4 linked regions of the Arabidopsis thaliana genome follow. The protein of the gene in region 1 purifies or fractionates together with the protein of each later gene. This does not show direct contact. Each region holds a gene or a part of one and is shown in the gene's direction. Other genes may lie near its edges. The genes, in order: AT5G53480, IMPA-5, IMPA-8 and AT1G32880.

Evidence for each region.
Region 2: the proteins of AT5G53480 (region 1) and IMPA-5 fractionate together in Arabidopsis thaliana (co-fractionation; one large-scale study listed by BioGRID). This does not show direct contact.
Region 3: the proteins of AT5G53480 (region 1) and IMPA-8 fractionate together in Arabidopsis thaliana (co-fractionation; one large-scale study listed by BioGRID). This does not show direct contact.
Region 4: the proteins of AT5G53480 (region 1) and AT1G32880 fractionate together in Arabidopsis thaliana (co-fractionation; one large-scale study listed by BioGRID). This does not show direct contact.

Annotation. Positions count from the first base shown.
Region 1 is NC_003076.8:21,709,835-21,719,232, forward strand, and holds AT5G53480 (ARM repeat superfamily protein), read left to right. Parts: upstream 1-3,410; 5' UTR 3,411-3,648; intron 3,649-4,173; 5' UTR 4,174-4,181; coding exon 4,182-6,595; intron 6,596-6,676; coding exon 6,677-6,875; 3' UTR 6,876-8,044; downstream 8,045-9,398. Other genes in the region: ACBP1 (acyl-CoA binding protein 1), read left to right, coding at 663-1,120, 1,507-1,609, 1,732-1,820, 2,024-2,115, 2,197-2,294, 2,381-2,557. UniProt on the Arabidopsis thaliana protein: Acts as a negative effector of drought tolerance. Involved in the regulation of stomatal closure and in the abscisic acid (ABA)-mediated pathway that lead to drought tolerance.
Region 2 is NC_003076.8:19,989,968-19,997,701, reverse strand, and holds IMPA-5 (importin alpha), read left to right. Parts: upstream 1-3,029; 5' UTR 3,030-3,185; coding exon 3,186-3,392; intron 3,393-3,518; coding exon 3,519-3,612; intron 3,613-3,713; coding exon 3,714-3,805; intron 3,806-3,877; coding exon 3,878-4,009; intron 4,010-4,090; coding exon 4,091-4,276; intron 4,277-4,345; coding exon 4,346-4,509; intron 4,510-4,595; coding exon 4,596-4,674; intron 4,675-4,894; coding exon 4,895-5,023; intron 5,024-5,127; coding exon 5,128-5,255; intron 5,256-5,337; coding exon 5,338-5,686; 3' UTR 5,687-5,756; downstream 5,757-7,734. Other genes in the region: AT5G49320 (transmembrane protein, putative (DUF1218)), read left to right, coding at 1,488-1,652, 1,838-2,064, 2,238-2,619; AT5G49305 (importin subunit alpha), read left to right, coding at 6,979-7,063, 7,147-7,250, 7,339-7,461, 7,526-7,708. UniProt on the Arabidopsis thaliana protein: Binds to conventional NLS motifs and mediates nuclear protein import across the nuclear envelope.
Region 3 is NC_003076.8:21,116,686-21,123,815, reverse strand, and holds IMPA-8 (importin alpha), read left to right. Parts: upstream 1-2,696; coding exon 2,697-2,714; intron 2,715-2,798; coding exon 2,799-2,898; intron 2,899-2,991; coding exon 2,992-3,074; intron 3,075-3,148; coding exon 3,149-3,271; intron 3,272-3,349; coding exon 3,350-3,526; intron 3,527-3,601; coding exon 3,602-3,765; intron 3,766-3,848; coding exon 3,849-3,927; intron 3,928-4,025; coding exon 4,026-4,154; intron 4,155-4,251; coding exon 4,252-4,379; intron 4,380-4,467; coding exon 4,468-4,792; 3' UTR 4,793-4,870; downstream 4,871-7,130. Other genes in the region: AT5G52010 (C2H2-like zinc finger protein), read left to right, coding at 1,000-2,190; CBF4 (C-repeat-binding factor 4), read left to right, coding at 6,029-6,703.
Region 4 is NC_003070.9:11,912,164-11,918,006, reverse strand, and holds AT1G32880 (ARM repeat superfamily protein), read left to right. Parts: upstream 1-3,271; coding exon 3,272-3,397; intron 3,398-3,555; coding exon 3,556-3,683; intron 3,684-3,781; coding exon 3,782-4,079; downstream 4,080-5,843. Other genes in the region: NAC13 (NAC domain protein 13), read right to left, coding at 4,315-4,724, 4,844-5,843.

The DNA of each region.
Region 1 (9,398 bases):
TAATAATGATTCATAAGTACATTCTCTTTGTAGGATTTCAGTAGCTTTCTTTTGTTAAAGCTTTCTGAAATTGAAAGCCTTTTGTTTTTTCTCTATGGCTGTTTCTAAGTTTGAATTTTAAGGAATTGTAATGCAGTTCCTGCTTCTTGTTTTTGCCCTCTTTGTGTTCTTTCATATTATTTATGGTGGTGTAAACTGTAAACAATGTTAGGAATCATAAGACTTGCTCAGTAAAATAGTGAAAAAAATGATCTTCAATTACACAGTGAAGATTGAGGTATGTAAAACCGGTATGTAGTTTGTCTCCAACAAATTTCTTCATTTTTTCTCGGTCCCAACCAGTTGGTAGATGAAAAGCGGTCCAATTAACAAACGGATTCGTCAGTTGTCTCTCGTCGCAACCATTCAATCCTACGTGTAATTCCTCAGTTGTCTCTGGTCTTCAACAAAAGACAAGCCCACAAAGAGAAAACAAAAAAAAAGTAAAGAAAAAGAAAATTGTGAAGCGGTGAAAACAAGAGTTCCAAAAAGGTGGCTCCTTTTTGTTTCTGGAGATGCGTTATTGTGACCCTTCTTTGAAATTTAGGGTTCATTTTCTCAGATTTCGAGTTCGTTGTGTTTGAATCTCTATTGGGTTTACTTTCTTATTCGATTTGGGGGAAATGGCTGATTGGTATCAGCTTGCACAGTCTATAATCTTTGGTTTGATCTTCGCTTACCTTCTCGCTAAGCTAATCTCTATCCTCCTCGCTTTTAAAGACGAGAATCTCTCACTCACTCGTAACCACACGACTCAATCGGAGTATGAGAACTTGCGAAAGGTCGAAACTTTAACTGGGATTAGCGGCGAGACTGATTCTCTTATAGCTGAGCAAGGTAGCTTGAGAGGTGATGAAGATGAATCAGATGATGATGATTGGGAAGGTGTCGAAAGTACAGAACTTGATGAGGCATTTAGTGCTGCTACGGCTTTTGTTGCTGCTGCTGCATCGGATAGGCTTTCGCAGAAAGTTTCTAATGAGTTGCAACTTCAGCTTTATGGATTGTATAAAATTGCTACTGAAGGACCTTGTACTGCTCCTCAACCATCAGCTCTTAAAATGACTGCTCGTGCCAAGTGGTTTGTCTAACACTCTTATTGATTCTCTGATTCAAATGTTTGGGACTGTGAAAGATGATTGCTTGATCATGTTTACTTGTGATGTACTGATGTTTCTTGATCATGGATGTATATTATTTTGATTTCACCAAGTTCGTATCTTTCATTGCTAATGTATGGAAAGGATTGCTTTTGTTGGTGTATTGATTAGTGATCTGATTCAAATCTTATGACTGTGAAGATTGTTACTTAATCATGTTTACTTGTGATGTACTGATTATTCTTCATCCTGGATGTATCTTGCTTTGTGTGAGTACCGAAAGGATTTGCTTTTGTTGTTTTGTTGATTGGTAACTTAGGGATGCATTTTGATCGACTGAGATTTGTTATGATCTTTTTTGTTCTAGGCAAGCATGGCAGAAATTGGGTGCTATGCCTCCTGAGGAAGCGATGGAGAAGTATATCGACCTTGTTACTCAGCTTTACCCAGCTTGGGTTGAAGGTGGCTCGGTTAGTTGTCTTCTTACCTGCTTCTGTTATTCCCATTTCTTTGGACTGTTTATGGATGGTCTGTTTTCGTTCTTAAATCTGTCTTTATTTCTTGGCTTGTTTGCTTCGTTGCGGACTATTAGAAACGAAGAAATCGGAGTGGTGAGGCTGCAGGCCCCATGGGACCGGTTTTTAGCTCATTGGTGTACGAAGAGGAATCTGACAATGAGTTGTAAGGTTCCTAAGCAATTAGTTACAGATTCATCTATGAACTTTTGGTTTTCTTTTCTCAGTTTCTCTATATGACTAGCTGACTAGATCAGAGAAGGAATGTATATATCATAATACTCACCTTAGGTAGATCAAAGAATCATGTGTTAGTTTAAATCATAGTAGAAGCTCTGTTCATTCTTGCGTTCTTACTCCATGTTCCAGGAAGATTGACGCCATACACGCCTTTGCTAGAGAAGGAGAAGTCGAGAATCTATTGAAATGCATAGAAAATGGCATACCCGTAAATGCAAGAGGTTAGTAGTCTTGTATCATTTTCACAGAATGTTCGGATCTGGTTTGGAAACTTAACAGTTTCTCCATCTTGGAAATGTCAGATAGTGAAGGTCGAACACCACTGCATTGGGCTATAGACCGTGGCCATCTTAACGTTGCTGAAGCTCTGGTTGATAAGAACGCAGATGTGAATGCTAAAGTAAATAAATAACCAAAACCCCCTAAACTAATTCTTTCTCTCAATTACAGACTTTTATGTTTTTGTCGCTGACAAACTTTGTGCAGGACAATGAAGGCCAAACCTCTCTACACTATGCTGTTGTGTGCGAAAGAGAAGCACTCGCCGAGTTTCTGGTGAAGCAGAAAGCTGATACAACCATTAAAGACGAAGACGGAAACTCGCCTCTTGATCTCTGTGAATCAGAATGGTCTTGGATGCGAGAGAAGAAGGATTCCAATTAGTGTTTTTTAAGTCTTTAAAATTGTGTGTCAAAGCTAGATGCTTGTGTTTTTCTTACATTTCCTCTGAGCCTCTTTGCTTCCTCTTAAGCTTATGTTTTAACATACAACAACACAAGTTACATATGATATAGTAGCTCTAGTTTTTATTGGTTACTATATTGAACCCAGAGAGATCATCATCATCAATCATCATAACTCAATAATAGTTTTTTTTTTGTTAGTATAATGTTTCTCTCTTTCGTTCGTGACCCTTTCATGTTTTTTCAGCCATCTGAATCATTATTATCATACCTGTAAAACAATTTTGTTGATTACTTGTAAAATTTATAAGTATTTTAAATATGATACAAATTGTACCTTCGGAATAAGAAAAGAAAAAAAATCTTCTTCTTCGCATCTCGCTGTAAAACAATCCGGACCGTTGATTAATTAACGATGAGAATATATAAGGTGGGGTTCAGATAAGGACCACCCAACACGCGATGTACGACATAATCACTCCAGATTATATCAATTCTTTAATCAGAAATATATTTTTAGTGTGCAAAAATCATAAAGAAAAATATTTTCCCTTTTTATATATATATTGGGTAATTCAGATTTTTTTCTATTTATGTTTTTATTTGAAAAAAATAAGATACACTGAACAAACAATTATGATTGGAAACAAATTTTCATATTTAGAAGATTTATACAACTTTTTTTTAATTGGGTAATTTTAAAAGATATTTTCCTATATATAGTTTTTATAAAAATATTAGGATACACTGAACAAAACCTAAATATACAATTGAGTACAAATATATATAAGTTTGGAAAACAATTTCAAAATTAATAGATTTACATAATTTGTGTTCAAAACAGTTTTTTTATTTGTTTATATAAATATTTGGTTAAAAGTTTAATAATAAAATTTAAAGTCCATCTTCACATCCGATTCTTCTCTTCTCTTCTCTCTCTCTCTTCCCTTTTTCGCTGGAACTGATTTTTTTCTTCTCTCTCTCTCTCTCTCTTCCTTCTGGGCTTCTAGGGTTTGTCCTCTCCAGTCCCCGATTTCCGCTTTATCCGATCGGCCGCCGCCGAGATTCTAGGTTACCCTTCTTCACTTCATCTATTCAACTTTCTCCCTAAGATCCATCTTCAGATTCATCACTTCCCAATTCGCTTTTTTTTTTTCCTGATTCGATCTCGATTCGTTCAATCATCCATTTCCAACTTTAGTTTCGATTTGTTCACTGTTTTATGATTTGAACTCGTTCGTAATCTGAGATTTGCTTTTCGATTTTTTAGTTAGATTCATTTGTTCTATTAACTTGTTGATTTGGTCATCTTAGTAACTAGTTTGATTTCGTGTTTTATATTCGATTTCGTGCTCGGATCTGTTGTTCTGGCTGTTATAGTTGAATCTGACAGTGTTTTTAAGCGTCAATGGCTCGTGCTTTGATCTCTTATTGCTATTACATGGTTTTTTCGATTCATAGTGATTTAGTAGTCTTTCACCTTTATGGCTTTTTGGATCGTTGACGAGTTTCTTCATGTTGTTGGCTTAATTTACTGATTCTGTCTTACTTCTTCTTTATTTTCAGTTTTGCTGAATCTGTTTGTTTCTGTTGCAGATAAACCTATGGCAATGGAGGTTACGCAGTTGCTCATTAATGCTCAGTCGATTGATGGAACTGTACGTAAGCACGCGGAAGAAAGTCTTAAGCAGTTTCAGGAGCAAAACCTTGCGGGTTTCTTGTTGTCGCTTGCTGGAGAGCTTGCGAATGATGAGAAGCCAGTAGATAGCAGGAAATTAGCTGGTTTAGTCCTTAAAAATGCTCTTGATGCTAAGGAACAACACAGGAAGTATGAGCTTGTTCAGAGATGGTTGGCTCTAGACATGTCAACAAAGTCGCAGATCAGAGCTTTCTTGTTGAAGACACTGTCGGCACCTGTGCCTGATGTTCGTTCGACTGCATCTCAGGTCATTGCTAAGGTTGCAGGTATTGAGTTACCACAGAAGCAGTGGCCTGAGCTCATAGTGTCTCTTCTCTCAAATATTCACCAGTTACCTGCTCATGTCAAGCAAGCCACTTTGGAGACTCTTGGATACCTATGTGAAGAAGTGTCACCTGATGTTGTTGAACAGGAGCATGTAAATAAGATACTCACAGCTGTTGTTCAGGGTATGAATGCTGCTGAAGGTAATACTGATGTTAGACTTGCTGCAACCCGTGCTTTATACATGGCTCTCGGATTCGCCCAAGCAAATTTCAACAACGACATGGAGCGTGATTATATCATGAGAGTTGTGTGTGAAGCAACCCTGTCCCCTGAGGTGAAAATTAGGCAGGCAGCTTTTGAGTGTTTGGTATCTATCGCTTCCACATACTATGAGAAGTTGGCGCATTACATGCAAGATATATTCAACATCACAGCTAAGGCTGTAAGAGAAGATGACGAGTCTGTTGCTCTACAGGCAATTGAGTTCTGGAGTTCTATTTGTGACGAAGAGATTGACATCTTAGAAGAATATGGTGGTGAGTTCGCTGGGGATTCTGATGTTCCATGCTTTTATTTTACTAAGCAGGCTCTCCCTGGTCTTGTGCCTCTACTGCTGGAGACTCTTCTGAAGCAAGAAGAAGATCAAGATTTGGATGAAGGGGCTTGGAATATTGCAATGGCAGGTGGGACATGCCTCGGTTTGGTTGCTAGGGCAGTTGGAGATGACATTGTTCCACATGTCATGCCGTTTATTGAAGAGAAAATATCAAAGCCTGATTGGAGAGAGCGAGAAGCTGCAACTTATGCTTTTGGTTCCATTTTGGAAGGCCCTTCTGCCGATAAGTTGATGGCAATTGTTAACGCAGCGTTAACATTTATGCTCAATGCTCTAACAAATGACCCAAGCAACCATGTGAAAGACACAACCGCATGGACCCTTGGTCGGATATTTGAGTTCCTTCATGGTTCAACAATCGAGACACCTATTATTAATCAGGCAAACTGCCAGCAGATAATCACAGTACTCATCCAGAGCATGAATGATGCGCCTAATGTTGCCGAGAAGGCTTGTGGGGCTCTGTACTTCCTTGCTCAAGGCTATGAGGATATCGGTCCCAGTTCTCCGTTAACACCCTTCTTCCAGGAAATTATTAAGTCACTTTTAGCTGTTGCACACAGAGAGGATGCAACTGAATCACGCTTGCGGACTGCAGCATATGAGGCATTGAATGAAGTTGTCAGGTGTTCAACTGATGAAACGTCTACCATGGTTCTGCAATTAGTACCAGTGATAATGATGGAGCTTCACAATACTTTGGAAGGGGAAAAGCTTTCATTGGATGAGAGGGAGAAACAAAACGAGTTGCAGGGACTTCTATGTGGATGCTTGCAGGTCATCATACAGAAATTAGGATCTGAACCAACCAAGTCTAAGTTCATGGAGTATGCAGACCAAATGATGGGACTTTTCCTGAGGGTGTTTGGTTGTAGAAGTGCAACTGCACATGAGGAAGCCATGCTTGCCATTGGTGCTCTTGCTTATGCAGCAGGTCCCAATTTTGCCAAATACATGCCTGAGTTTTATAAGTACTTGGAGATGGGTCTTCAAAACTTTGAAGAATACCAAGTGTGTGCTGTTACTGTTGGTGTTGTTGGGGATGTCTGCAGAGCATTGGAGGACAAGATTTTACCTTATTGCGATGGGATTATGACACAGCTTCTGAAAGATTTGTCGAGCAACCAATTGCACCGATCAGTGAAGCCACCGATATTCTCCTGTTTTGGTGACATAGCACTTGCTATCGGTGAGGATTTTGATAAGTACTGGAGGTATTCAATGCCGATGCTTCAGAGTGCCGCAGAGTTATCTGCTCACTCGGCTGGAGCTGATGATGAAATGACGGAGTACACAAACTCATTGAGAAACGGAATCCTTGAGGCTTATTCAGGCATATTTCAAGGTTTCAAGAACTCCGCCAAAACCCAGCTCCTGATTCCTTTCGCACCCCATATCCTCCAGTTTTTGGACAGTATATACATGGAGAAAGACATGTAAGTTTGGTTACGACCCAACTGAATTTCTATTATGTCATAGCAGTTGTTTAATTTTGTGGTAAAATTGCCTTGGGACAGGGACGAGGTGGTGATGAAGACAGCGATTGGGGTCTTAGGAGATTTAGCAGATACACTAGGGAGTCATGTGGGTGGTTTGATACAACAGTCAGTGTCAAGTAAAGAGTTCTTAAACGAATGTTTGTCTTCTGAAGACCACACAATTAAAGAAGCAGCCGAATGGGCGAAGCATGCCATAACCCGTGCCATATCTGTTTGAAGGCTCTTCTTTTGCCTATAAGAAAGAAAATTCCTTTTGCTTTTTAGTAAAGTCTGCATGCATCTCTGGGTGGGTTGAGTCGGTCGGGGGGAGGGGTAGAGCTGCAACATCCGAGTCACATCAGCATCATCAGCATCAGTTTCATTTGCATCATCAGCATAACTGGGGTCAGTCAGGGAATCGTTGAGTCGTGGATGTGGGGAATGATGAGTTTTGGGGTAAATAATGAAACTGGAAGAGTCACGGGTGAAAGTTTCCCGGGTAAGGTTAAATCCCCGGGAGTAGAAAGAGGAGGAAGTGAGTCATGGTCGTTTTCTGGTGGGTTTTGGGACAAAGTTATACCAAAAAAAAAAAGGTTTCATGGAACATCTCATAATACATTCTTGTTTTTTCTTTTCTCTCATATGTTCTTCAACCCCTTGAGGAGGGAGAGGTCTCAGGTTTTTATCAAGTGGGGGCATTATTAGAGGACAATCCCTTGATTTTTTCTTTTGTTTTCTTTTATTATTTGGTTAGTTGCAGTCTTTGCATCATCATTTTGTCTTTTGGGGGGGTTTGTATGTTTGATTAAAAGCATTATTCACATTTTTATTTTTATATAAAGAAGTTTCACATGTCTGTCTATCTTCTCTTTGCTATGATGCAGTTTAGGGGGTTTTGCATATATACTTGTGTTTTGTTTGCAATCAAGTTTCAAATGTCACATACAGGAACATTTTTATTATATGGTGTCATGTCTTAGGGTCTTAAAGAGGTCCACATCTATTCATTTTACTATGGAACTGTTTACAATCGTTTAGAATCCATTATTTGATTTGGCTCGAACTATATGGGAAAGGGCACATGTTAATAGGAGAAAACGTCCTGCCTTACTCTGCTTCCAAAGAGTCAAGTTAAGAGATCGAAGAACATTTCACATTCACGCTGTTTATGGAAACCTCAATTTTGATTGTATGTGTTGCTTTTTTTTGGTTTTCCAAACGCCAAATGCAACTGATACCGAACCTATATTTTGAAAAATGTTTTCATGTGTATTTGAAACATTCTAGACCATTCAAGTTATGGTTTAAATTAGTTTCTCTCGGTTCTATGTATTAGTCCCAAACCATGTTTCTGACGTCTCGAGAATTTTTCTCTTGAACTAAATATATAATGTCATAATTCATTCGACATATCTTTTTCGAATTGATGATTTAGGCGAGAGAAACGTTGGTTCTGTTGGTATTTTTTTTTTTTTCATTGTGATGACATACCCATTTAAATCTCACTCAAATGGACAATAAAACACATAAAAGATAGATGATGGCTAAACATCCAAGAGAAATAGGACACGCCACTCTGAATTGAAATTGGGAGTTGAAAAAGAATGGTGGTAATACGAAGTGGGCCTTTTTTATTGTCAAAGGACTTGTCCAAGCACACCCACATATATCACATACACTGATACACACACAAAAAAAAAAAACATTTTTGTCGTCCGCGACGATTTTTTTCATATTCAAATAATTTCATTACGGCGTTAATACTTTATTTTGCGACTTTAAACTTTACCTTTAGTCTTTAAATGCAATACTGAAATAGCACCGAAAGATATATGAGCGTCGTCAGCTGAAACTGCCAAAAAAAGGAGAAAATCTTACGATCCAAGTTATTAGTCAAAAGAAACATAATTATTGATTAAAGCATGAACTTCTTGCGACAAAAAATAACTCCAATTTTTCTTTCAATAGCTATTATCTAACACATTTTACCTTAAGGTTACGGATCAATACATTTTTAAAAATAATAATGATTAGTAAATACTTTCTTAGAAGATGAACGCCATTAAAGAAAACTCTGAAAAAAAAAAAAAAACGGATGTTTTTTAAGAAAATTAATTCGTTTAGTAGGACAACGAAAACCTAATATATAAGCTAATTTAATGGATAAAAACTAGAACTTTGGTTCAAACTACATTTATAGATCTAACTATGCGTTCTCATTGCCTGATGGCTTTCATTTTTTGATGTTGTTCCTTCTAATGTTGATACGCTCTTAAGCGATGATGTTATTGGGTATGTGCGCCTAAGGCAAGTAAGTTTGTAATTTTTCTTATAATTTTTAGTCTCCCGTCTTCTACAGAAAAAAAAACTACACTTATGAGATGAATTGTATATTAAAAATTTAAAACGAAGGAAATATTTAAGAAAAGTAGTGAAATTATTAGTTGTGGGTGTCTCGTGATTTATTATTCGCGTTGTAAACTATGTTAGTATTGAAATTGTGTTTTTGTTCTCTTTTTTTTTTAACTAATAGACGTACGTTTTTTTTTTGTCAAAGACTAATAGATGTACGTTTCGTCGTCTTTCTGTGTAGTTGACATTGGACAACAGAAGTTAAGACTTAAGACACGTACGTTGTTGCCCAATAAAACATTGCTAATTTAGTGGCTCATTGGTTTCTTATTCATCACTCCTTTTAAACGCAACATATAATTGCCGACACATTGATTATTTCCCTACTCACGAACTTTCCCTTTTTTTT
Region 2 (7,734 bases), 1.7 Mb from region 1:
CGAGAATTGTCTCTAAGAAAAAAAATATATATAGATATTCGGACCAAAGAACTTCAATAGCACCATGGACGATCCAACGTTATTGAAGGCTCTATTCATGTTATAACGTTTCCCCTCTTTTTAATGTTATTGAAACTTTGATTAAAAAAAAAGTTATTGAAACTCATATATCATAAATAAATCATAAACAACCAAAAAACATATATCATAACTATAAAAAATTATCTAAATAAAATACTACTTTAATAATCTGGTAGGAGTTAAAAGTTCAAAATAAAAAAAACTAACTAATGCAAATCTATTGGGGGAGATCAACAGTTTTTACTCTATTTAATTTTTTTTTATATATATCAATTTTGTTTTAAAAAATCAAAATTTCAATGTCCATACAAATTTTGGATCCTAGTTCATGGCTTTTTTTTTTTTTTTTTTTTTTTTTTTGTCAAAGATCCTAATCTATATATGCCTTAAGGTGCTTATACCATGGACTTTGAGTATAAGTAAAATTTTAAACCCAATATTTTCACATCATAATTTCGAGCTTTGGCGATGGTAACCTCAACTTTCATAACTCATATAGCACAATTTAGGTACATTAAATTCAAAATTCTTACGACGAGTGACGACATCACAAACTTTGTCATGAAAATACCACATGAGTGATGAGTACTTAATACACAACCATGTTCTTTTCAAAACCGATGCGACCAGTGTCGGCAACAATAAAAATATATACTATCACAACGGCAAACACAACATCGGCGAGACACTAACATTAAGGTGATGACAACTTGACAAGTAGTGTTGATCCAATTCGAAGCTAAAGATATCAGTGACACGAGCTCGTTTTTTCTGTCACTATATGTCTTTGCTTTTGAAATGGAGTATCAGAAACCGCTTCTCTATTGGTTATTTATGGTGGGGTGTGGAAGGCTTTTGGCTTCCTATTAAAAATTACACGCCCTCACATGATTATGCTAATAAATAGTATATAGAAATAAGACAACACTCAGTCACTCACGACTCACGAACAAAGTTCATCACCTTATCTTTTTATCTTTATCTTTATTTACTTTCAAGATAATAAAAGGTACGATGTTCTTTGTATGAACACAAAATAAAAAGAAGAAAAGAATGTTCTTATACACGTGTAATATATGAAAAGAATCATCCAACTAACTCCATTAACGAACTCTCGTCACATTATATATTTTACACATCATCGTTTAATAGACACTATACGAAAACAGTATAGTATTTCTAAAAAGACATCCGAAAGAGAACCTGCGAATCTTGGCCTTTAAGCAACCTTTGGCTGAAGCAATTCTTCTATCCTCCTCTCCTTTTTCATTTATTTATCAAATATACTCCAGTTTATTCTTTTCTTCCCACTTTCAATGCCTCTCATATATGTAAAACAAATCAAAGTATAATAACTCTCAAAACATGTAACTTCGATTCCTATCTATTAGAAATTGACGAGAGACATGTCGAGAACAAGAGTGCGAGCTGTGACCCATCAAGATCTTGTTCCAAACCCTAAAACCACAGATCTCAGCAGCAAAACCGGTATTTTCATCGCTGTTTTGACAATAATCTTTGGCCTCTCCTGCTTTGTTCTCTGCCTCTATGCCGAAGCCACAAGATCTCAGGTACATTACTATACAGGGATGTATATAAACTTTCTCTCATATGTTTTCATCATTTATATTTTCAAAATAAATCAGAAATCTATATTGATTCATGTTTTATATTAATTACCATATCGTTCGATTATAATAGTATTTAGTATAAGTTATATCATTGCCATTAATATGTTGTCAATCATTTGCAATAGGCGACATGGGGAAGCAAAACATGCGTGTATAATGGTAGCGGGAAAACGCCGTTGTTGTGTGGTGCGATTGCGTTTGTGGGACTAGCGGTGGCGATGGTGGGCTTCCACATGTACTTACTTATCGCAGTCACCACATCGCCGTCTCTGGTTCTGGTTGAGTGGGATCCTGACTCTGTTCCTGCGAAGAGGCTCACTTTTCAAGCTGCCTTCTTCTTCGTCTCAACATGGTACGTAGACTTATTCTAACGCAACGAATTAATGTCATGTAGTTATAAAAAATAAAATAAAAATAAAAAAATCCTAACTATAAGCAATCGTGAAATGACATATTTATGTTACTGACCATAGCTTAAGTTAATGATAATTTTGTGATTATATTATTCTTTTTTGTTCCTATAAGGGTTTGCTTTGGTGTTGGAGAGGTTCTACTGTTGGTTGCACTTAGTGTGGAATCAGGACATCTAAAGAACTGGTCTAAACCAAAACCTAGTTGTCTAGTAATCCGGCAAGGCTTGTTTTCAGCGGCCGGAGTGTTCTCACTTATAACCGTCTTTCTAGCCACGGGACTTTACCTAACCGCTCTTCAAGCACATCGAATCTCTAAGGATCTTGAAAACACACATAGAGAGATCATCGAGGCATCAGTTCTTTATGCATCTCCTCCAAGATCGCCTACAAATCGGATGGCTACGGTTGCTCGAGAAGGTCTTGCTACTGTTAGAGATGAATCGACGTCTTTGGAATATCTTGTTTCTTTAAAGCAACTTGCACATATAGTATAGTGTACAATGTATAGTAGTTAACATAATCATATGAGAAAAAACAATGTTTTTACTTCTTACATAAGCAATTCAAAATCACAAACCAAAACCTACTTTTTCCAATCAATACATGAACTTTACCGGAAAAGTAGGTTTTCCTTCGCCGGAGAAAACACTACACATCTAACGAGTAAACTCTGCAAATATGGTTCTTTTTATCGTCGGTAACGAGTAACTAAACCAACTTCACGGTTTAGTTCGGTTTAGATTCAAGTATTTTAGCTTATAATAATTATTGACTAATTATTTCAATTTGGAGCTCTTAATAATATGATTGTAAACTTTATCTTAAATTTAGATTATCAATGATTTATGATTCAATCTACTGTATAAATACGGTTAACAATTAAAAACGATAATTAGAAAACCCTCCCGCTTCTTCAAATTGAAACTGTTGTCGCTTCTTCTTCATCTTCACCACTCTTGCATTCTCTTCTTCACTTTGCAAATCCCATTCAGTTCAAATTTCTAGGGTTTCGCTTCGATTTTGTGAATTGATTTAGAGAGGTCGAAGAATCGAGAAAGCTATGTCCTTGCGACCGAGCACGAAGACAGAGATCCGTCGAATCCGTTACAAAGTCTCTGTAGATGCGGAAGAAGGACGCAGAAGAAGAGAAGACTTTTTAGTCGAGATTCGCAAGAGTAAACGCAACGAAAATTTGATGAAGAAACGTCGTGTAAAAGTTTTGCCTCCTGATTACAAGTTGATTTCCAACGACCCCTTTGAGAGTTTGGTAAAAGTTTGATCTTTGGTTTTGGATTAGTGAAACCTAGGTTTTGAAAGATACGACCTTTATCATTATACTCGAATGCTTTCGAATTGGGTAATTAAATTAGATCCTCTCTGGTGATGGTTGTAGTTGGAGATAGCGAATATGATCACTGGGGTTTTCTCGGATGATCCTTCATTGCAGCTTGAGTACACAACTCGGTTCAGGGTGGTTCTATCATTCGGTAAAACTCTTTACTTTTCTTTGATCTTGAGTTGAAAAAGATACGAACTTATATTTACTTGAATGGTTTCTTAAAGTCTTGTGGTTTTATATATTGTTCAGATAGAAGTCCACCTACTGATAATGTGATAAAATCTGGAGTTGTGCCACGTTTTGTAGAGTTTCTTAAGAAGGATGATAACCCTAAGCTTCAGGTTAGACTTAAAGTTCCCATCTTTGATGATTAGTGTAATCTTTGGTTCTGAATTCTTTGATCTTTTTTATAGTTTGAGGCTGCTTGGGCTTTAACAAACATTGCTTCTGGCGCATCTGAGCATACCAAGGTAGTGATTGATCACGGTGTTGTGCCACTCTTTGTTCAGCTTCTTGCTTCCCCTGATGATGATGTCCGTGAGCAGGTATAGTGCTTCTTCTGAGTATGAATGGTTAAATATGTGAGTTCAAATTTTGAAGAGTTTGATGTTACACTTAATTTGCAGGCTATATGGGGACTGGGTAATGTTGCTGGTGATTCAATACAGTGCCGTGACTTTGTTCTTAACTCTGGGGCATTTATTCCACTGTTGCATCAGCTGAATAACCATGCTACATTGTCGATACTTAGAAATGCGACTTGGACTTTATCAAACTTCTTCCGTGGCAAGCCTTCACCACCCTTTGACCTGGTATTCTTACTTCTCTATTTCCTCAGTTTTATAGGTGCAATACTTAAACTTATGAAACATGATTTATAGGTGAAACATGTTCTCCCTGTACTTAAAAGACTTGTTTATTCGGATGATGAACAAGTCTTGATAGATGCTTGCTGGGCGCTTTCGAATCTGTCTGATGCTTCAAATGAAAATATCCAAAGTGTGATCGAGGCGGGTGTTGTCCCAAGACTAGTTGAACTTCTCCAGTTAGTACTTCTCTCCAAATATTAAAAAATTTAACCGTTTGATACATGTTTGGATAATGAAGGCTCGCCATTTTTTTCTTTTGCAGACACGCTTCTCCAGTTGTACTTGTTCCTGCACTTCGTTGCATTGGGAATATAGTTTCTGGAAATAGTCAGCAGACTCACGTATGTAATTCATATTCCTTTGATGGAGCCTTCAAGAACACGTCTCTTGTACACCGTGTGAATTTATTGTTTTTCAAAGCAATAGCACTATCAAAAGCTTAATTTGTAATCCTGTATCTTGGATGATTATATCCTGGAGAACACTTCATTTATATGTTGCTTGAGTACTGTGTTGAGATTAGATTTTGTAACCAAATAACTCTTTGAACTTATTTTTCAGTGTGTGATCAATTGTGGTGTTTTACCCGTTCTTGCTGACCTGCTTACTCAAAACCATATGAGAGGCATAAGGAGGGAAGCTTGCTGGACGATTTCAAACATCACTGCCGGTTTAGAAGAACAAATTCAGGTGAGCATGAGTTTGTGATTGTTACTGTTGCAGAACTTGAACAATTTACGTTGCTATCACTAAATATTTTCTATTTGTCTTTCTTGCATTGATGATGATAACAGTCGGTTATTGATGCAAATTTGATTCCATCGTTGGTCAATCTGGCACAACATGCTGAATTTGACATAAAGAAAGAAGCTATATGGGCAATTTCAAATGCTTCCGTGGGTGGTTCTCCTAATCAAATCAAGTACATCCCTGTCTTCTTTCTTTATCACTTTTTTCATGCTTATTGATCATCTATATTCACAATATCCATTGGTGTGTATCAGATACTTGGTGGAGCAGAATTGCATAAAAGCTTTATGTGACATCCTGGTTTGTCCAGATCTAAGAATCATCTTAGTGTCTCTAGGTGGACTGGAAATGATTTTGATTGCTGGAGAGGTGGACAAGAACCTAAGAGACGTGAACTGTTACTCTCAAATGATTGAAGATGCAGAAGGGCTAGAAAAGATTGAGAACTTGCAGCACCATGGCAACAATGAGATCTACGAGAAGGCTGTGAAGATTCTGCAAACATACGGGCTTGTAGAGGAAGATGGAAGGTTAGTTGAAGAGGAAGATGAAGGTGGTGATGGTTGTTCTCATCCGGAATTCCAGTTTGATTTTTCTCGTTAAGATCCCACATAATCTGATATTAGATTTTGATGTAAAGAAATAGCTGTCATATTGAACCAAAAGCATGCACATAATATGATGGTCCTAAAAGACAAAACAATGTGGATTCCAACAGGAAGTGGAACTTGGTTCTCTAACAGCTACTCATCATATTGGAATCAAGTTCCACTTCCTGTTAGAGAACCAAGTTCCACTTCCTGTTGGAATCCACATTGTTTTGTCTTTTAGGAAAAAATTTTACTCAAATTTACCGAACTAACGGTCAAAATTAAGAAAGGGTTAAATTATTTGTTTACCGAACTAACGGTCAAACTTTAAAGATGGATTCAGTTTTTTTGACGCGGGACGGATTTGTTTTTTTTTTTTTCTTTCGAAATGGATGGGCTCTTATGCTATGGGCTTTGGTATAACGTAAAAGGCCCATATATTCCGAAACCACTTTGTGTTTCGTTTCCATGGAGAAATTGAATCATCGAATTTGGTCGCCACTTTGAGAATTTAGATGAATTCGATAACAAGCTCAAGTAAGAAGGTGCAGAGATGCTTTATTATTTCTTCGCTCGTTGTTAACTCTTCTTCATTCTCGTCTCTGCTATTTTTTCTTAAGCTTCGATCAAAAACCCTAAACAATTCATCTGGATTGAAAATAGAGAATGCTAGACCACAGTGAGAAGATAAAATGATCTGATTCTGATTCGGGTGATCGAAGATGAACTGTTGGAAATGATGATGATCTGCTTCTGTGTTTGTTTCAGATCTTCTTGGTCAATTCAGAAACCATGAAAGCAAGAGCTCAAGTTATGATCGAACAGAGAAACCACAAGAAGAATTGTGCTGATCGTGGTCTTCGTCATGGTGGTGCTAAGGTGATTAGACATATAAACCCTAATTTCACTCCGATTTGGGGGGTAATTCGAGATTGGCAATGATCCGATGATCCTAACCAACACGCCTAACATGTTGAAATTTGGGTTTTATTAAACCGGATTTAAACCCAAAACCAAACTGAATCAATTTGGTTGAACTGAACCGGTTTCAGTCGAAATTAAATCAAACCAAACAAGCCGGTTCTGATAACGATATTGTCGTAGTAAATTCATCTGTTATTTTCGCTCCATTCTTGTTTGCATTCTTGCACTGAATTGCAAAATTTCTTTGCCTCTTTCACATTTCAGCTCAGATTTCTCTTCAAGTTTTGCAAATTTCTCTGGATAGGTCAAAGAAGAGAGAAAACCCACGTTGCTTAAGACCCAAGCTTCCTCTAAACGATCTCACACAAAGTTTCAGCAGCTATGAGTTTAGCCAATGGCCTTTATTCAAAAGATCCTTTGATACAGCTTGATTCAGCTATCAAGATCAACAGGATTCTATCAGATGGTAAATAAAACTTCCTCTGTTTCGATCTGAAAGATTTCATCTTTTAACATTTCTTTAAGTTTTGTGCTCTTATATCTGTCCAGGAATGCAAAGAAACTTGCCTCTTGGTACAAAAGATCTAATACGATCTGGAATTGTTGCTCGTTTCGTTTTCCTTCTTCACAATGAAGAATTCCCTAAGCTTCAAGTTAGAAGAAAAAAAAGAACCCATCAAATTGTTTTTTACGATGATCAGTGTAATCTTTGATTGTGATATATTCAATGGTCTTTTCTAGTTTGAAGCAGCTCGCGGTCTAGCAATCATTGCTGCTTTTAAACCGGATGTGGTAGTTGATCACAAGGTTGTTCCAATCTTAGTCACGCTTCTTGCTTCTTCGACAGATAATGTCCGTGGACAGGTAAAGATTGTACCTATGTAGTAGATAAGTATGAATGATATGAGTTTTGACATTATTCTTGCAGGCTATATTGGCACTGGGTAATGTTGCTTATCATCCAATACACCGTGACTATGTTCTTCAATGTGGGGCATTGACGCCACTGCTGATTAGGCTGTACAAGGATACTAACTTGCCGATGCTCAGAGCTGCCATTCGGACTTTGGCTTTCTTGTGTCGTGGCATGCCTCCGTCTACCTTCAACGAGGTCTTCTTAATTCTCTCTCTCTCTGT
Region 3 (7,130 bases), 590 kb from region 1:
AGTCTAATGGTTTGTGTTTTCTGACCCCAAAAAAAACAACAGCTTCTCATGGGAAAAAATGGTAGGAAACTTTTTTTTTTTGTCAACGGCAAACTTAAATTTTAGAAAGATAAACTACGATATAATAACTTCCAAGAGAAGATTTTTTGGAACTTAACCATCAGACCACACACACACATCTTTATCATCCTATGAATATCCAACGAATACTACTACATAGAGAAGAATGAACATGTTACATTTATATCATGTTTGACTAGAAACAAAACAACATAGATCATTTTTCTTGTTAACCTTTGTATAGGTTTTCAATGGCTTCCGCTTCTCTCTGATTCTTTTTTACCATATATACTACTAGATCTACTGTCTTAGGATTCTCTAACCTTTAGGAGTTCAAAATTTATCTCATGAGCTTGAAAGATGTCAATTACTTCTCCAAACTCGACGTTATATGTGTCAAGTACTACATTCATGTCATGACAACCTTTTGTGCATAAAGATACCTCAAAAGCTTTTTTACCAGTTTCGTGTCCTTATATTTTTTTTTGCATACCTCACATTTTATATGGTTTTAATCACTCATCTTTTTATATATTCTCACCCATCCTTATAATTTCAAATTGAAATACCATCATGTCCAATATATTCTCACCCATCCTTATGCATTGTGTCTCATGTGTCTTTAGCATATTTCATATCCCTGGATCAACTTGAGTTAGTGAAACAGTTAGAAAGTAAAAAACAAAGGTAAAGTCTCTCTCGTCAAGACCCTCCGAGTGTACAAGAGGCTCTCAAACAACAAAAGCAAAAGGATAAACTTTTGTTAGCTCAGACTATCCACATAGCCGTCGTCTTCCTCGCCGGACATGCTAGAAGATAACAATCCACACCCAAACTTACCCAGAGAGACAATCTCTGATTCACGTCCACTACAATTACCGAATCTCTCCGAAGCCACCGATCACCTACGCTAGTTTCAGTGGCAATTCGAAGCTTCCAATGAGTTTGTTCTGTAATTCAATCGAAACCCTTTATCCAAAACCATTCCTTTCACACAAATCTCACTTCTTTACCTTCTCCAATTCCAAATTCCAAAACCCTAAATTCACAAGCTTCCCACTTCGTCACCAATGGCGGATCGAATCATGTCTGAAATCAGCATCTTCATCAGAAATCGATATGGTAAGAAACAAAGAAGGTATCTTTGCACCAAAGGAGAAGAAAGTTGTAGTCTTATGGGACTTAGACAACAAACCACCACGAGGTCCACCATACGAAGCCGCAACAGCTCTCCGTAAAGTCGCTGAGAAACTCGGCCGAGTCGTCGAAATCTCCGCTTACGCAAATCGTCATGCTTTTATCCATTTACCTCATTGGGTCGTCGAAGAGAGACGAGAAAGGAGGAACCTTGATTTCATGGAGAGGAAAGGAGAAGTGACTCCAATTGATCCGTACATTTGTGGTGTTTGTGGTCGCAAGTGTAAAACCAATCTTGATTTGAAGAAACATTTCAAGCAGCTTCATGAGAGGGAGAGACAGAAGAAAGTTAATAGGATGAGATCTTTGAAAGGTAAGAAACGTCAGAAGTTTAAGGAGCGTTATGTTTCAGGGAATGAGAAGTATAATGAGGCTGCGAGGAGTTTGTTGACTCCTAAAGTTGGATATGGTTTAGAGGCTGAGCTACGTCGAGCAGGGGTTTATGTTAAGACGGTTGAGGATAAGCCTCAGGCTGCGGATTGGGCGGTTAAGAGACAGATACAACATTCAATGACTAGAGGGATTGATTGGTTGGTTTTGGTGTCGGATGATAAGGATTTTTCTGATATGTTGAGGAAAGCTAGAGAGGCTGATCTTGGGACTTTGGTTGTTAGTGATATGGATAGAGCATTGGGAAGGCATGCTGATTTGTGGGTGCCTTGGAGTGGTGTTGAGAAGGGAGAGATTGGTGAGAAGGATTTGATTCCGGGGAAGAGACCAAGGTTTGAGGAGGATGAGGTGGGATTTGGTGGTAATGATGAGTTGTTTTCGTTGTCGTATGATGAGGATGAGAAGGCGGAGATGACGGTGGAGAGTGATGGGTTTGGGAGGTTTAATGTATCGGCGTTTTCGGAAGATGAATGGGTGGAGGATGAAGGAGACTTTGTGTTGAGTGATAGTAGTGATGATGATAGTGATGATGAGCTTTTCTGATTCATGGTGAATTGAGTTGCATTTCTAAGTGTTGTTAATTGGTTTACGAATAGAGTTCATAGGAGCTTTGGTCGATGTAATTGAAATCAAATGTAAAACCATTCTTACATAAGCCAAGATTTTGTGCATTCATGTGGTCAAAGGCTTTGAGAATTCAAGTTCTTACATAAACCAAGATTTTGTGGTATTGTGGTTTGTCGAATTGAAATTTTGGGTTGGAGTAAACCGGATTCAAATCAAATTTTTATTTTGATCGGTTTAGAGTAGACGGTTAAGTAGCGACTGGATTTTTTGATCAGACGGTTAAAATAAAATCAAGAAAGAAACGATAACTGAAAAACCCGTTTTTTTACGCTTCGTTAAAATTCTGCTTCACCATTTTTGTTTGCATTCTTGCTTGATTGCAAAATCTTTGCCTCTCTCACATTTCAAGTTGAGATTTCTAGGGTTTAGTCTTTAAGTTTTCTAAATTGCTTTGGAGAGGTCGAAAAGAAGAGAGAAAAGCCATGGCTTGGAAAACAGAGGTCCGTTTAAAACTATCTCACAAGTAATCACTCTCTGGTTGATTTTGTGTTGGACTAGTGAGGTTTTTAGGGTTTGGATTGTAGGTGAACGAAGTTTCAGATGATATAATCGATGGTCTTTGGTCAGATGATCCTCCATTACAACTTGAATCCGTTACCAAGATCAGACGTATTACATCACAGAGTAAAAACTTCCTCTGTTTTTTACTTTCTTTACTTTTTCTTGATCTCGGTTTGAAAGATTCGTCTTTTATCATTTACTCTAATATCTTTCCAGGAGATATATCTTGTGTGATACGATCTGGAGTTGTACCGCGTCTCGTTCAGTTGCTTAAAAATCAAGTTTTCCCCAAGCTTCAAGTTAGTTGATATTTTATGATGATGATCAGTGTAACCTTTGATTACGATATATTCAGTGATCTTTGTTTTTATAGTATGAGGTAGCTTGGGCTCTAACAAACATTGCTGTTGACAATCCGGGCGTGGTAGTTAATAACAACGCTGTTCCAGTATTAATTCAGCTTATTGCTTCTCCTAAAGATTATGTTCGTGAGCAGGTAAGTATTTTACTACGTGTAGATATGAGAATACTTGTCACAGACTCACAGATATGAGTTTTGACATTATTCTTGCAGGCTATATGGACACTGAGTAATGTTGCTGGTCATTCGATACATTACCGTGACTTTGTTCTTAACTCTGGGGTATTGATGCCACTGTTGCGTCTTCTGTATAAGGATACTACACTCAGAATTGCTACTTGGGCTTTGCGTAACTTGTGTCGTGGCAAGCCTCACCCGGCTTTCGATCAGGTCTTCTTACTTCTCTCTCTGTCTCTGTTTCCTCTGTTTTGTATACTTTTTAACATATGAAGCATGATTCAACAGGTGAAACCTGCTCTTCCTGCGCTTGAAATACTTCTTCATTCACATGATGAAGATGTCTTGAAAAATGCTTGCATGGCACTATGTCATCTGTCTGAGGGTTCAGAAGATGGAATCCAAAGTGTGATTGAGGCTGGTTTTGTCCCAAAACTAGTTCAAATTCTCCAGTTAGTACTTCTCAGAATATGTATTTAACCCTTTTGTGACATGTTTGGATAAGGAAAGGCTGACAGTTTTTTTTCTTTTGCAGACTCCCTTCTCCAGTGGTGCTTGTTCCTGCACTTCTTACCATTGGGGCTATGACTGCTGGAAATCATCAGCAGACACAGGTATGTATTTCATATTCAACTTACGTTGTCCACCTTTTGGATTTTGTAACCAAACAACAAAATGCTTTGTTATACACCTCTTTGAACTTATTCTTCAGTGTGTGATCAATAGTGGTGCTTTACCCATTATTTCCAACATGCTTACTCGAAACCACGAGAACAAAATAAAGAAGTGTGCTTGCTGGGTGATTTCAAACATCACTGCAGGGACTAAAGAACAAATTCAGGTGAGAAACTTTTGTTGCTATTATCCCCAATGAAAATTTACCATTTTTGTCTTTTGCTATCACTAATTTGTTTTTCTTTTTCCCCTGGTGATTACAGTCAGTTATTGATGCAAATTTGATTCCAATCTTGGTCAATCTTGCTCAAGATACTGACTTCTACATGAAGAAAGAAGCTGTATGGGCAATTTCAAATATGGCCTTAAATGGTTCTCATGATCAAATCAAGTAACGTCCCTGTCTTGTTTCTTTTTTCAACTTTAATGTACTTATTATAGATCATCAAGTCTCACAATTCTCCATTGGTGTGATTCAGATACATGGCGGAGCAGAGTTGCATAAAACAATTATGTGATATCCTAGTATATTCAGATGAAAGAACCACCATCTTAAAGTGTCTGGATGGATTGGAAAACATGTTGAAGGCCGGAGAGGCTGAAAAGAACAGTGAAGACGTGAACCCTTATTGTCTACTGATTGAAGATGCGGAAGGGCTAGAAAAGATTTCGAAGCTGCAAATGAACAAAAACGATGATATCTACGAGAAGGCTTATAAGATTCTGGTGACGAATTGGTTTGAAGAGGATGATGAGAACAACAACAACAACGTCCGATGTGATGATGTGGACTTTCAGGTGTGAGAGAACCAAAGTTCCAGTTCCTTATATGGAAGATCCCAACACAATTATTTGTTATAGTGAAAAAAAAACATCTTACATGGGACCAAAGGCTTTGCACCTTTGTTGTCTCAGGGCTTTACTTGGTCTTTAATTGAATGTACAAAGTTGATGTAAAAGCTTTGGCTCCATCGTTCATGGAGTCTAGTACATTGTTTTGGGTTTTAAAAGTTTTCTGTGTTAAAGCTCGTCGTCTAATTGATGTTGTGTTTGGTTTTAGTTGAAAGGTTTAGACGTTTAGTAAAAAAGTTACTCAAATTCTTGAAATCTCCTTGGCCTTGCTGATTATAAAATCAAATATTCATTTATAAAATTATGCGAAAGGGTCTAATTATTTTTGAAACCGAATCGAATGAAGACAACTCCATTTTGATTGATTTTTTTTTTGTTGTATTAAAGAATAAAAAACTCGACTGGTTCAACAAGACTGGATTGTCTTTAAACTACTGGTTCAATGTATTTTGGGTACATAATGAAAAAAATACACAATCCGCCTTGGCCACGTATCCATCTTTGGCTTAGTTGATGATGATAATACTTTTGTTTTTTGGTAAGGCTGATGATGATAATAGTTAGAAGAAGTTCATAGAATAATCCAATGGATTTCCAATAATAAAACACAGAAATAAATATAATCCAAACAATTGCCAAAAATAATGAATAAGAAAAGGGACCCACACCAAAAGCTAAAAGCGCGTGGGTCAGATTACAAAAAGCGAAACCCCAAACCGTGGCTAGACAGCGGACGAACCCGTCCCTTCAAACGTGGCTCACCTTTCGAACCACAGAGAGCAGTTTACACTCCAACTGTCAAAAACGTGTTCCCATGACGTCATCCTCAACGTATCTTTATCACTTTTTAAAACTAAAGACTGTTTTGTCTTTTTCTAAATCGTCCCCTTTCTCCGAACACCATACTTAAATTCAATAAAATAATAAATATCAAAACTGAACCATCGAATCGGAACCAGCCACAGTACACAATACACTTAGACGAAGTAAAGTGATTCAGAAGGACACGTGTAAGTCACATACCGTGGGACACTTGTCGTTACCAGATCCTCCGTGTTTCTCACTTTTCTTATAAAATAAAAACACAACACTTCTTCACTTTCTGTAATAAAAATATCTCCAAAAGTTCCAACACCTGAAAACATAAAAAGATAGAAAGAGAAATAAAACATCTTATCCAAAGAAAAAATGAATCCATTTTACTCTACATTCCCAGACTCGTTTCTCTCAATCTCCGATCATAGATCTCCGGTTTCAGACAGTAGTGAGTGTTCACCAAAGTTAGCTTCAAGTTGTCCAAAGAAACGAGCTGGGAGGAAGAAGTTTCGTGAGACACGTCATCCGATTTACAGAGGAGTTCGTCAGAGGAATTCTGGTAAATGGGTTTGTGAAGTTAGAGAGCCTAATAAGAAATCTAGGATTTGGTTAGGTACTTTTCCGACGGTTGAAATGGCTGCTCGTGCTCATGATGTTGCTGCTTTAGCTCTTCGTGGTCGCTCTGCTTGTCTCAATTTCGCTGATTCTGCTTGGCGGCTTCGTATTCCTGAGACTACTTGTCCTAAGGAGATTCAGAAAGCTGCGTCTGAAGCTGCAATGGCGTTTCAGAATGAGACTACGACGGAGGGATCTAAAACTGCGGCGGAGGCAGAGGAGGCGGCAGGGGAGGGGGTGAGGGAGGGGGAGAGGAGGGCGGAGGAGCAGAATGGTGGTGTGTTTTATATGGATGATGAGGCGCTTTTGGGGATGCCCAACTTTTTTGAGAATATGGCGGAGGGGATGCTTTTGCCGCCGCCGGAAGTTGGCTGGAATCATAACGACTTTGACGGAGTGGGTGACGTGTCACTCTGGAGTTTTGACGAGTAATTTTTTGGCTCTTTTTCTGGATAATAAGTTAGTTTAGGGATTATTTGGACATCTAGGATTGGTCCGGAGTTCCGTACCTGTATTTTTTGTTTGGTACCAAATCTTTAGTAATAAATCGTCTATCATTTATTCTTGTTAGAATGTTCTTTGTTTGTTTTTGGTAAACAGATTTGATCAAATTAGAGCTATAGAATTTGAAAATTTTGTTTTGTTGTATCTGAAACTGTAAATAGATTTCTCTTTGTTTCGTTGATGTATTGACAATCTTTACCAAATTTCCAGAGCTTATAAAAGCTTGAAACCTCTGCTTTTCCAAATATAATCCTGATTCACATTATCATATATTCCTTGTAGACTCAGCAAAAAAAATTAAAACTATAAAATCTCTTACACATTAGTCCAAACACGTGAATGAGTAATAGAGGTC
Region 4 (5,843 bases), on another chromosome or scaffold:
CTTTTGTGTACGCTATGAACACTGCAGAAGATCGTAAGATTTTGTGGCAGGAACTGAAAGACCATTCTGATTCACCTATTATTCGGAAACGACCGTGGATAATTTTTGGAGATTTCAATGAAACTTTGGATATCGAAGAGCACTCTCTTGCGGATAGTTATCCTGTGGTCACTGCAGGTATGAAGGATTTTCAACAAACGGTGAGCTATTGTTCGATAACTGATATGGCTTCGCAGGGTCCACTTTTTACGTGGTGTAACAAGCGAGAAAATGATCTCATAATGAAAAAACTGGACCGGGTGTTAATAAATGACGTTTGGCTGCAAACTTTCCCGCAATCCTATTCTACATTTGAGGCTGGAGGTTGTTCGGATCACTTGCGCGGACGAATAAACTTAAGAAGAGAAAAAGGGAGTCAGGCGAAAGGTCGAAAACCTTTCAAGTTCGTTAATGTCCTTGCAGAATTACATGAGTTCCAGCCAATGATAGATAACTATTGGAAGAATACTGAGTCGTTATTCTTGTCTACATCCACTCTTTTCCGGTTCAACAAGAAGCTAAAGGGTCTTAAGCCTGCGTTAAAGTTGCTCGCAAAAGACAGAATTGGTAACCTAGTGAAGAAATCAAAAGAAGCATATGAAGTTTTGTGTAAGAAACAAGAGGCAAACTTATCAAAACCCTTCATTGCAGAATATGGAAGCAGAGAATGCGGCTTATAACCGATGGGAGTTTGTGTCAGATCTAGAAGAAAAATATCTAAAACAAAAATCAAAGTTGCATTGGATGAAAGTGGGTGATAAGAACAACAAGACTTTTCATCGAGTTGTGGTAGCTAGGGAGACAAATGAATCAGATCAAGGAAATTCAATGTGCAGATGGTAGCATTGTAAAGGGTGATGAGATAAAAGTGGAGGCTGAGAGATTCTTTAGAGAATTTCTGCATTTTATCCCAGAGGACTATGCAGGCTGCGATGTTAGTGAGCTTCAGAACTTGCTACCTTTTCGTTGTTCTGAATCTGATCAAGAGCTGCTTACTCGTGAGGTGTCTGCGGAGGAGATACAGAGGGTTCTGTTTTCAATGCCGAAGGACAAATCTCCGGGACCAGATGGTTATACCACAGAGTTCTATAAGGCAACATGGGCTACCATAGGACTTGAATTCATTTTGGCAGTTCAATCTTTTTTTCTAAAAGGTTTCCTTCCAAAAGGAATAAACTCAACTATTTTAGCTCTGATTCCAAAGAAGCTAGAAGCTAAGGAAATGAAGGATTATAGACCTATTTCATGCTGCAACGTAATCTATAAGGTAATTTCTAAGATCATTGCTAACAGATTGAAAGTGCTTCTGCCAGAGTTTGTTGCGGGAAATCAGTCGGCGTTTGTAAAAGACAGATTACTCATCGAAAATCTGTTACTTGCTACGGAACTAGTCAAGGACTATTATAAAGATTAAGTCTCTACCCGTTGTGCTATTAAAATAGATATCTCGAAGGCGTTTGACTCGGTCCAATTGGCTTTTCTGCTGAATGTTTTATTGGCTATGAATTTTCCTGCGGTTTTTATACATTGGTTAAAACTGTGTATTACTACGGCCTCTTTTTCAGTCCAAGTAAATGGCGATCTCGCTGGTTATTTCCAAAGTGCAAGGGGTTTACGTCAGGGTTGCTCTCTCTCGCCATATCTGTTTGTCATAAGCATGGATGTCCTCTCAAAGATGTTGGATAAGGCTGCCGGAGCTCACAAGTTTGGTTTCCATCCTCATTGTCAACGTTTAAAGCTCACTCATCTAAGTTTTGCAGATGATTTGATGGTTCTAACGGATGGTAAGGTTAGATCCATATAGGGTATAGTGAAGGTTTTTGATGAGTTTTATAAGTACTCTGGGTTAAAAATAAGTATGGAGAAGTCGACAATGTATATGGCAGGAGTATCACCTTTAGTGAAAGCAGAGATTGCAGCTCTTTTCCCTTTTGATATAGGTCAATTGCCAGTTCGATACTTAGGTTTGCCTCTTGTTACTAAGAGACTCATGGCTGAGGATTATGATCCTCTTCTTGAGCAGATTAGGAAACGCATCGCGTCGTGGACTTCACGCTACCTCTCATATGCAGGTAGCTCAACTTGATTCAATCTATCCTCTGGAGTATTTGCAATTTCTGGCTAGGCGCTTTTCGTTTACCGAGACAGTGTATCCGAGAGATTGACAAGATTTGCTCCGCTTACCTATGGTCGGGTTTAGAACTGAGTTCAAAGAAGGCAAAGATATCGTGGGAAAAAGTTTGTAAGCCGAAAATAGAGGGGGGTTTGGGTTTGCGAAGCTTGACAAAAGCTAATGATGTTTGTTGTTTAAAGTTGGTCTGGCGAATCATTTCTAATAGCAAGTCTTTATGGGTTCAATGGGTCACCACATACCTTCTTAGGAGGAAGCATTTTTGGACATTGAAGCAGAATACAAATGCAGGCTCTTGGATTTGGAGAAAAATACTAAAGTACAGAGACAAGGCGAAATAATGTGTACAATGCATCATTCTCTACCAAAGAAACGTGGCACCATATCAGAGCTCCTTCTCCCACAGTCCCCTGGTACAACGGGGGTTGGTTCAATCACGCCACACCAAAGTTTTCGTTTTGTACTTGGCTCGCGGTCCAAGATAGGCTCTCAACAGGGGAGCATATGGTTAAATGGAACAGAGGAGAATCGGGTCTCTGTGTGTTTTGTACTAACACTATGGAAACTCGTGATCATTTGTTTTTCTCCTGCAACTATGTCTCGACAATTTGGGGTGACGTAGCTAAGAAGCTATGGAAGACCAGATTCACAAAGGAATGGCCACAAATTCTGGCCTATGTTTCAGACAAGTCATTACAGCGAGTCGATGGTTTCTTAATCCGGTATGTCTTTCAAGCTACAATACACACAGTTTGGAGAGAGAGGAATGGGCGTCGTCATGGAGAAACACCGAACACCACGTCACACTTGATAACTTGGATAGATAAGCAGGTGATCGAAGATATGACAAGGGCAACGTACAGCTCACTCTAAACATTCTCTAAACACCTTTAATTTCTAACTATTTTTTTTCTCAGCTTTTCTCATTTTGCTAAACGTTGCACGAGTTGTAAAAACGTTTTGTTTTTTTTTGAATATAATTTAACATTTTTTCAAAAAAAAAAGAAGAGTAAATCAAATCTCTCTTTTACTCTTTTTCTTGATCGATTTGAAAGATTCTTCATTCACTCGAATGTTTCTTATATTACATGTGCAGAAGATATGCGTAATGTTTCTTATATTACATGTGCAGAAGATATGCGTGGTCCTATCGAAACAGTGATACGATCTGGAGCTGTACATCGTCTCATTCAGTTTCTTCTCGATGAAAGTTTCCCTAAGCTTCAAGTTAGAAGAAAAATTTCCCCCATCAAGTTGATGTTTTTATTGATGATCAGTGTAATCTTTGATTCTGATATATATACAATGATTCAGGTGCACAACATAAAACAATTTGTCTATTTGCTATCTCACTAAACTAAACTGTTTTCCCCTGGTGATAACAGTCAGTAATCGATGCAAATTTGATTCCAACCTTGGTCAAACTGACTCAGAATGCTGAATTTGACATGAAGAAAGAATCTGTATGCGCAATTTCAAATGCGACCTTACTTGGTTCTCATGATCAAATCAAGTACGTCCCTGTCTTATTTCTTTCTTTTTGCACTTTCAACTTAACATGCTTATAGATGATCATCAAAGTCACAATCTCCATTTATTGGTGTGATTCAGATACATGGTGGAGCAGAGCTGCATCAAACCTTTATGTGATATCCTGTTTTGTCCAGATGTAAAAACCATCTTAAAGTGTCTGGATGGAATGGAAAACACATTGAAGGTTGGAGAGGCTGAAAAGAACGCAGGAGACGACGTGAGCTGGTATACTCGACTGATCGAAGCGGAAGGGCTAGATAAGATTTTGAACCTGCAAAGACACGAAAACATCGAGATCTACGACAAGGCTTTGAAGATTCTGCAGACTTACTGGCTTGAAGAGGATGATGAGGATATACAACAACCTCCAAGTTAATAATCTAGTTAAGTAACATCATTTGTTCAAATATCCTAAAAGATAAGAAAATTCTTTTGCTTATTTCTATTGGTACTTTTTTAACAATACCAGAGAAAACTTCCAAGCATAAACTGTGATACTAAACAGCTTCTGAATCTAATAATCCAAGAGAATAATTACAATGACTTGACTCTCTAATGGTTCACACAAAACCAAGCCTTTATGTCTCTTAACCTCTTGGATTTTTCGGTTCTCACCATAACAAAGGCCTCCCTGAACCTCCCATTGTTCCTATGATCACCCAAAACAAAGCACATAAAGCCCCAATGATCGATAAGCAAAAGAAACCTTTGTTCTTCTTCTTCTTCTTATCGTTGTTTCCTCCAGACTTGTTCCTCTTCACTGCTGAGTCACTATCCATAACAACAACATTATTACCTGTGCTTTTAGAAGTAAACCTGAAACGACCACCACTGGTTGACATTCTAACAAGGTTCAGCTTCACAAATGGATTCTCTGATGCATATGCTGGCTTTGCAGGAATGGATTCCAGGAAAGTCCATACACTAGAAGCAAACTTACTAGACTCGTCTTTTGACGGGTCATCTTCATTAGTTGTACTTATACCAGAAGGAACAGGGTTTAGGAATTCAGATGAATCACCTGTCAAGGGAATATGATTAGGATAAGAAGCCAGTCGCTTTCCTCACAATTAGATAGAATATTTAGTATGCGAGTGAAAAGAGGTATCTACAGGAAAATCTGTTAGTGCTTTCAAGTACCTGTACCAGGCGCCTCACCAAACCGGGTAACGGTAAGTCCGTCATTGTTTAGCTCCTGCACCCACGATGATCCATTGTTTATCTGTCTGGTATAGCTGTTACGGAGTGGCCAGTTACTAGCTTGGTTCTTCCCTGATTGCTGCTGGAACTGGTTATTATTGGCCTGGTAAGTCATTAAAGAAGTATTCACCTGAAGACTTTGTGCAAACCCATTTTTCAAATCACCACTAACAAAATCTAACTGAGGATTTGTCACTCCCAAATCAAGGAAATATGAATCAGCACCAACGAAATCATCATCATTCAGGAGACCAGAACCATCCTCGTTCCAGTTATTCTCCATGACTTCCACAGAAGTTGGTTCAGGTTCAGGTTCCATAAGATCATTGATTTCCAAATACATATCTTCCTCCAGGTTCTCCAGATTATACGTGTCTACATGAGAGTTCAGTCCAGACACCCCATTCTGCTGCAATGTTGGACCAGACTGATCTCTAACCTGACTCATCAGCTCTTCAATATCATTATCATCCAATTCAGATTGGTTAAGCCCTTTCCCCCATAAACTATTATCAACACTAGCCGAAACAACGAGCTGATTAGCAGGCTCATCAACATCATCATCATCATCTTCAGCCCATTCTTCTTCAATAAAAGGAGCTCCATATTGCTCACCATTCTTAGGACCAGACCCACTTTTCTTATAAATCTTGTAAAGAACATAAGCATCCTTAACATCTTCACCACCACACCTCTTGAGCTCCTCTTTGTGCAATGTATACTCATGCATCACCCAATTAGTCCGTTCGCCATTAGGTGCCCTGCCTCTATGGAAAACAAGAGTCTTCTTCTCTCCAACGGGTCTCGAATCACAATGAATGACTCTATCCTTCCCTGTTGCTTTCCAATAGCCACGTTCAGTAGCTCTACTTGACCTACTTCCATGTTTCCTATCCCTTAAGCTGAAAAAGAACCATTGACGATCTCTAGTCTTATACAA